2 linked regions of the Arabidopsis thaliana genome follow. The protein of the gene in region 2 interacts with the protein of the main gene of each other region in a pairwise test. Each region holds a gene or a part of one and is shown on either strand. Other genes may lie near its edges.

Region 1 (4,132 bases), on a different chromosome or scaffold from region 2:
ACAACTTAACTGGTCAAAATTTAATATCTTCATTGGCATTACTTGTCAGTTGATATCTTCTATGCCACTGAAGTGATCAATGAAGTAGTTGTATGGAACCAAAGTGATCAATTAAATAGCTGTTTCACCAAAACAAAAAGTTATGTTATGTCATTTTCAAATTTTTCTTTGAATTCCTAAAATACTTGTAAAGGTTGTAGGTTAGGTTATTTGAAATTCAAAATGTAAGTGGATTAGTATGTTAAAATCAAAAAAAAATGAAGAGAAGACATGCGAATAGCCAAAAAAATAGGCAAGAACTAAAAAGCACATACAAAAAGTGACGACACCAAACCAAACATCATTTAGGTATGGTTTTAACGTCTGCATCAAAGTTGCTCTGCGTATTATCTGCTTGAAATGACTCATTCAATAGTATAATCTAATTAATAGGAACACTTCAAATAGGTGAAATTTGACATCGAATTATATATTGTCTCCACATTTTTAAGTTACATGGCTTGGAATTATTACATATTTTCAGAAACTATTTGTGACGCAAAAAAATGTGATTTCATGATTTCATCGCTTGAATTTGGTAATTTCATTAAAATTTACATTTCACTGAATTTAATTGACATACGTAAATTAAAAAATGAAAACATTAATTCTACATAGAAATTTGAAACCAAAAAAAACTCTTAAAACATATGACGTATATCATATAACAAGATTAATCACAAATAAAATGTAGTATTAAATTAATTAGTTTGCTAGATTATGAAATTATAACATTTATAAAAATTACCGTTTTTTAGCATCTGCAAGTACAACATGCCCTAATTGTTGTTTTTATAAATTTCTTTGAGCACAATCTTTTGGCTTTGCCATCAAATAATTATGCTAGTTTCTTACTTGATGTTACATAACAAATGTGAACAAAAAAAAAACACAATTGACGATCTAAATATATAAAAAGATTCCTAAAGAATTCTCGATTGACTCTCTAATGAGTTCTAACATCAGAAACCCGACAATTCCGACACGACTCATTACGAAACAACCCAATCCGACAACACAAACACACCGCATCACTCTCATGAGCTCCAAACAACTCGGAACCCCACCGTCGAGTCGACTCAGCCGAGTCAACAACACTCACTTTCCGAGTCGACTCGTACCGATAACTCGGTCCAACAGAGAGTTCCAAATTCAACACCCAATCTTCCTCGTTCCCATAATCCTTCTCCGACGTCGTTCCACTACTCTCACAATTATTAACCATACCAATCTCTTCACGCACCGGTTCCGGTTTAACCGGTCCAGAGAAATCAAGATGTATAGTCTCAACGACATCGTTTTGAAGAGACGACGGAGACACGACGGATTCGTTGATCAGACGGTGAGAGTTTGGATCAATCCCACGGCTGAGAAGCTTCCTCTTGATATGAGTGTTCCAATAGTTCTTGATCTCGTTATCTGTTCTTCCTGGTAATCTCCCAGCTATTAAAGACCATCTATAACAACAACACAAAGTTTCAGAATCTTTCACAAATATAATCATATTCTTAAAAAAGTGTGAGAGAAAGAGACTAACTTGTTACCGAGCAAGCTATGGAGCTTGATGATGAGTTCATCTTCTTCTTCAGTAAAATTGCCTCTTTTGAGATCTGGTCTTAGATAATTCATCCATCTCAATCTACAACTCTTACCACATCTTTGTAATCCTGCACAAAGTTCAATCAAAAATCAAATCTTTACCTCTCTGTAAATATAAAGAAACAGAGGATGTATGAATAAGTACCAGCGGCGCGAGGGAGAGATCGCCAGCAACCTTCACCGTGTTTACGGATGTAATCAACAAGAAGCTGATCTTCTTCTTTAGTCCAAGCTCCTTTGTTCATGTGAGCTTTCTCGCAGCATGGTGATCTTCCCATCTTTGTTGATCTCTATATGTATATATGTATCTCTCTACGTGTATTTGGAGGAAATAGTGTTTTATTTTTTTTGCAAGGAAGAGAGTTCCTGTAGGATGGTGTTTTCGTTTTGAATGTTATTTATAATAACTACCTAACATTATTTTAATACCAAAGTTAAAAATAAAAATGTATCTAACAAATGAAATGATGTGTTCGTTTTTTTGTGCCTAAAGAATATTGTAACACCAACCAGAAAACACAAATTTGATTGTAGTACACTCACAGGAGGAACGTGGGTGGAGTTTCCTAACTTTTTTTGTTTTTTGTTTTCTGAGATGTAGATCGTACGGTTTTGGTTATTGACTTTTTGGCTCTTTAGAATCATCTCATCTGCTCAAAAAAAATATCATAATCATTTTACAAATTCCACAATTCATTGCAACATGTACTGTTTTTAACCATTCTTATTGCATATAAAAAAATATAGTCACGCGTAACTTTCGTATAAAAAGATCGATTATAAAAGAGAAAATAACTAAATAACGGTTTAAGTAATCACTAATCAGTTAGTGAATAAAGTGTTTTTAACATCATCAAATTTACTTCTTAGTTTCTGTAACGATTTTGTAAACTCGTTTTAATATCAATAAATTTGTTTAGCGGAAAATTAAACCAATTTTTTTTGCATTATTGAATTAAACAATTGTTTACTGCATTATTAACAAAAAAAAGTACTTAAACCTAATTTTGGGAAAATGTTAAAAAGAACAAAAAAAAAGTAGATCTGGGAGAAAGTAGGTAGATAGATTGGGAAGATGAGTAGGTAGCTGTCTTTTTTCATCTCTCTCTTCTCCAATCACTCTCTCCACACGCTACTTCCTTCACGTACCTCCACGTGTCCTTTCTTATGATTTTATCACATTCCTCTCTCCTTTGTCTCTTCAATTATAAAAACATGAATATTATTTAGATTAGTTGGATAACTGAATTATTGGGTTTGGGCATGTGTACTTGGTCCTTCTTCTACTGTTGTGTCTCTTAAGTTTTTTTTTATATTTTATTTTCGGATTTCACATTGTAACGACGGTCCAATTAAAGAATACATTTTTAAAATGAATTTACTAGTAACTTGTAAGGTACTTAAATGGTATCAATCAACATTGGGATGATTTTTCTTGGAAATTGGAATAACGTCGCTATAACAGGCGATTAGATAAATTAGTCGCATAGAATCGTATAAATGTTAAATGTTTTTGTCTCACACGCCCCATACGTATTTTAGTCCTTTGCACTTTTGCAGAAGTTATCAGAATTCTTTTCAATATTTAAAGAGGAGTTGAATTTTACAACAGTGATGTAATTCTATCTAAAGCTTAATTTCATAAGTTTATTATAGTTCTGTTTTTCTTTCTCAATCGTAAACATTTTTTCTTATATAGAAAACCCCGTACAATCTAACTACTATTCAACGTAATTTAACTACTGTTCAATCTTCAATGTTTTGTCATAAGCTAGTAATCTATGCTTAATTAAGAAAGAAACATAAGAAGAGTCATGAGCGGATGGGCCTTTTGTTCATAGCATTGTATTGGTCATGGGCCATTACTTGCAAAGCCCAACATGGCTAACCGCAAACAAGCTTCTAATTTCATCACGCTACGCCAAATGCCAAACATTGTTGTACAACACTTCTACCTTCTGAGTCTTCCTGACTATTGGCTAACATGAACTACGACGTTCAAAGAAAGGTTCTTCGGAGGTACACTGATCGATATGGAATTGGAATCGAAGGTTCCCTATGCACAAAAGAACATGGCGAAAACACGATTCAAAAAAACATAACGTCCGAAGCGCAACTAAAACTTAATATTTCGTGTTAAAAGCCAACTAAAAGTTACATTTCCGTTTTGTAAGCAGAAAGTGTGACTATTTTATGTGTTCTTAACAATATATCATTTTTTTTTTTACTTTGTTAATATCACTTTCTCATTTCTAAACGCTTTGTAATATTCTAGCGAAAATATAATTTATTAATGATTTTTATTTTTACATGCAAATTATACGACTGAAATGTTATAGGAATAGAGACATGTTTGTATCACAAAATTAACTTATGTAGGAAAAACAAATAGTATAAGTCTATCGTTCCCCTCTCTGTTCAGGCGTCAAGCCTCCCTTGCCACATTTAGGACAACTCTTCATACCAAATCCTTGACAATCAAAACATCTGCACA
Region 2 (4,391 bases):
CCATTTATGTACGTCGTCGTGACTTCTTAGGTCGCGAAAGTTGATACAATCAAAAGGACACGAGAAGACCATTTACAAAGTCCAAATCATAATATTATAATGAAAGTTGTTTGATACAAACAAAAGTCACGAAAATGCATTTATAAAAGTCCAACTGATCTATTATTATAAAACCGGATTGCATCTTTCTTTTGACCTTATCTTCAGCCTAAATATATAATTCTCAAACCAAGGACGGCAACCAAAAAAAAAAAAAAAAGACATTACCAATAGAGAGGTTTCATCAGATTTAACACTTTCGTTCAGACCTAATATATTAGAATATTTTCTTGGCAATCTAAAACTAAAACTTTATGAACTAATCATATAATTTATCTTCTTGATATTTCTGATTTATATTGTCCAAACTAAATAACTTGGTTTTGGTCGAACTTTAGTCATAGACCGGATCAACAACTCTAAAACCTCAAAAGCTTGTCGGGAACTGTGGGATCAGTCCAAAAATAACTCAATTCTTTCGGCTATTATTCATTTTGTCCTAATTGACATATCCTTATCCACAAATTGGGTACACATAAACTATGGTGGATGAATTTCTTTGCTTATGCAAAAATAAGGAGATATTTCGAACGTATTTATTCTCTTTTGCTCGTGGTCGATAAAGACCTTTTTCAGCTGAATACGTATATTCTTTCTTTAGATTAGGACATGTATGAACCTTTAGCCCCTTTTGCATACATGTGCTCATTCATTAGAGTGTCGCATAATATCTTTTAATACGAGGAGTTTTAGAATAAGTAACAAACCTTAGCGTGTGTTCATCAAAAAACTTGCAGAACCAAACAATCTTAAGATCTCTCTCATGACCAAAAAAAGATTGGTGGAATCATTTTAATGTGGTTCCATTAGTCTAGTCCAAGATTGTTCTTTGATACCTTTAGTTCCGCATCTCAAAACATCTTCAAACCAGTAAAAATGACATAAGACATGACATCATATTATTTATCCAGGTCTAGATGTTCAGTGATAATGAGTTACAGAGATAATGAGAACAAGAACGAGAGACAGAGAGATACGAGATCTTACAGACTCCACAAGTGATATTTCATGGCAAGAACTTGTCGAGGCTAGATGTGAGTGTGGTTTTGGGCACTGCACCTATGATTGTATCCTTCTTCTCGCCACCGACAAAGATCATGATCGTTGGGATGCTTCTAACTCCGTACTGGCCGGGAGTATTAGGAGATTCATCAGTGTTTAATTTGTAGAACTTGATCTTCCCAGTGTAATGCTGTGCTAGATCGTTTACAAGCGGATCAATCATCTTGCAAGGTCCACACCATGGTGCCCAAAAGTCGACAACTACAGGCCCAGTTGCTTTAAGAACTAGAGAGTCCCATGTCGAGTCATTGACCACTTGAACTGCAGGATCAATAACACAAATCAACACCTTATTGCCAAAGCTTTTAGAATCATGAATGAAAACAAAATATATCAGCCAAGGTGGACGAATAAAACAAAGAGACAGCTGACCCGTTTATCCATCTTCAGCTAGATCAGTATGTTGTAGCAAGTCTATATGATATTTCCTAAAAATGATCTAGAAGTGAAAGTTTTTCAAAATAGAAATTTGATAGATCCAGTGAAGGATAAAGCTTTATGTTTTCACCAGAGAGGAGAGACCAATGACTGAGTTAACATTGTAGCAGATAATACTGCTAATCTCACCAAACACATTATCACGGAAAAGGACTTACCTATCTAAAATCGTAGAATATCAATGCTAGTGATAACCAAAATCGTTATCTGCTGGTATAGAGAATCAAGATATGTTTACTCTAAAGCACAAAAAGCAACATTCTTCTCTCATGAGCCAAATAACTGTTTCTTGTCACAATGTGTATGATCCAACCAATAAAATATCTGAGTAGGTACCCAACCTAATTTCTAGGTTTGTTAGAGAGACTTTGCATTAATCAAGTAAAATATCCCCAAAAAAGAAGTGATCCTAAAAAGCAACCTTCTTCAAATTTCACGCAAATGGCATGAATCGTTCCTCTAACAGAAACCTCATTTTCAGCAAGAATTTTCTCAAAAGGTATACTCTCCTAAAGAAACTCTTCTTCCTCCTCCAGATTCACTAATCTGTAACTAATCTCAAGTTTTTAGCAGATTACTAAATGCTACAACAAGAACAACAACACAAATTCAAGCACCTTGCTTCTAATTTCCCTCGCACAAATCAATAATCAGTTCTCAAAATCCACCAACGAGCACGAATCAAAGACAAGTTAATAACCAAAATCGAAAAAGGAATAGTGAGAAAACATACTATCGGTAGTAGTTTCCTGAGCTTCACAGACGACGGCTCTTCGTAATCGAGAAACCCTAGGTTGATGAATCGAGGTCAACGAAGCCGGAGAGAGAGAAAGACGGATTCTCAAACCTGATGATTCCGGTAAGACGGCGAACATCCGCCGAGAAGAGAGAGAAGAAGCCGATGGTGATGAGGATACGATTCTGGTCTCGGAGCGGAGAGAAATCGGAGGACGAGAGGTACAAGTGAAAGCAGCCATGGCTATAGATAGAGAGAGGAGAGGTTTCTCCAAATCCCCAAGTGAAAAAATAATATCCAGATAGATAGAGAAAATAAAAAGATAACGAAACTAATGGAAGAGAAAATGTAGACAAAACACTGATGCAGATTTTTTATATATACATCAACACAAACAAATATTTTTGGAAAAATAAGTATTTCTACTAAAAATACAATTAAAATACAGTTGTGAAAAAAATCGAGAAATAATAAATTGAAATATTTTTGAATTTTTTTGATTTGTTGAGCTGTAGATATCATTTGCCCAAAATAACCGAAAAAAGTAGAAAACGAAAACATATTGTAAATTGTTTTTTTAATTGTTTGGGTAAGATAGTGCTCTGACTAAGCCCATCTGTAATAAGCCCATAAAACTTTTGAGATATTTTTTATTGGGCTCATATTAGGCCAGTTGCACTTTTTTTTTTTAATCCAGTCACTTGTGGATTTAACAGAAATTTTAACAAAGTTCCGTTACCCGCAATTTGTGATCTCGGGTCAATTTAATGACTATTTTGGCAACATCAACAAAAAGTTAGCGACTGAAATAAGAAGTCACTAAAAGTTGACTATTGAAATGAAAAGTCAATAAAATTTAAACGTATTATTTTACCCCACACTAATTTTTTTTTTTTTTTTTTTTTTTTTGTATTTTTGAACATTTGAAGATCTCCTGACATTTTTTCGCAATTGTTTTTCTCAAAATTTTCTTTAAAAAAATAAATAAATTATAACGCTTGCTTATAAGATAACTAAAAGTCTAAAATTTTGAATAAAAAACTATTTGGCATGAAAAATTCGCTTTTGTTAACAATTTTCTTCAAAATTGGTTCGTTGAATCCTAAATAATATCTGATGACAAAAAAAAAGATTATAGCAAAAGTATTTTCTTGGAAAACCAACATTTTAAAACTTGATTGGTAATGGTATGACAATTAGCTCTTGAAAAATGAAAACAAAAACAAAATCTTAAAAATCTATAAAACTTTCAAAACCAACATTTTGGATCTGCCTCTTTTTCTTTTTCTTATATACCTCTAGTATTGAGGAACCACTTCAAAGTCTTTCCTCTGATGTCACTTTAGCTCGCTGACATCTCTTCTACTCCTCAATTTCTTTATAATCTCGGTAGATCTCTCTACTAAAGAAATTCCTCCTTTCTTGGTTTCTTCTCAATATTTTGTTTTATTTTTGTTTTCTCTTTCCACATGTCTCTTTTTATTATGTTACAAAAATTTCCTCAATGTTTTCTACGATGTTAGGTTCAATGCGTCCGGTCACCACTTATGTTTTCACTGTAAGAACTCATTATTCCCCAGCCCTATGCGAAGAAAGAAAATGGTGGTAGCTAGAGACCAAGTGATGGATTTTTACAAACGTGTTCATAGTGTCCTCACAGATAAAGAGTTGTCGAAATTAGAAGATTTGAGGCAGCTTATTCGATCAAAATAATCTTACAATAAAGAAGTTATCTTCAACACCGACATCATATCTCTTTTATATGATTCACAGTGTCATTGATGAAATGAAAAGTTGGTTGATAATATTTGTTGCGTTGGGGATGGGTTATTTGATGTTCGAATCCTGGGTTTTGTTTAAAAATTTCGTCTATTAATGTATATAGCTTAGATTGTTGTATATAAGCTTAGTTTGGTTAGTATAGATTTCATATAGAGTCTGTACAGGTTGGTATTCTATAAACCAATCTTAATTTTGGTTTAGAGGCTTATGGTTTAGGCCAATATCAGTTTGTATATAAACCCCCAATTGTACTCTTTTGCTAATTAATGAGAAT

Evidence for each region.
Region 1: the proteins of ATHM2 (region 2) and MYB3 interact in a two-hybrid assay, tested with the Arabidopsis thaliana proteins (one large-scale study listed by BioGRID).

The regions. Positions count from the first base shown.
Region 1 is NC_003070.9:8,004,073-8,008,204, reverse strand, and holds MYB3 (myb domain protein 3), read right to left. Parts: upstream 2,142-4,132; 5' UTR 1,917-2,141; coding exon 1,784-1,916; intron 1,783-1,783; exon of another isoform or gene 1,707-1,782; coding exon 1,577-1,706; exon of another isoform or gene 1,544-1,576; coding exon of another isoform or gene 1,497-1,543; coding exon 986-1,496; 3' UTR 745-985; downstream 1-744. Other genes in the region: AT1G22630 (SSUH2-like protein), read right to left, coding at 4,038-4,125.
Region 2 is NC_003075.7:1,561,480-1,565,870, forward strand, and holds ATHM2 (Thioredoxin superfamily protein), read right to left. Parts: upstream 2,726-4,391; 5' UTR 2,577-2,725; coding exon 2,333-2,576; intron 1,917-2,332; exon of another isoform or gene 1,758-1,916; intron 1,423-1,757; coding exon 1,106-1,422; 3' UTR 724-1,105; downstream 1-723. UniProt on the Arabidopsis thaliana protein: Thiol-disulfide oxidoreductase that may participate in various redox reactions. May activate NADP-malate dehydrogenase.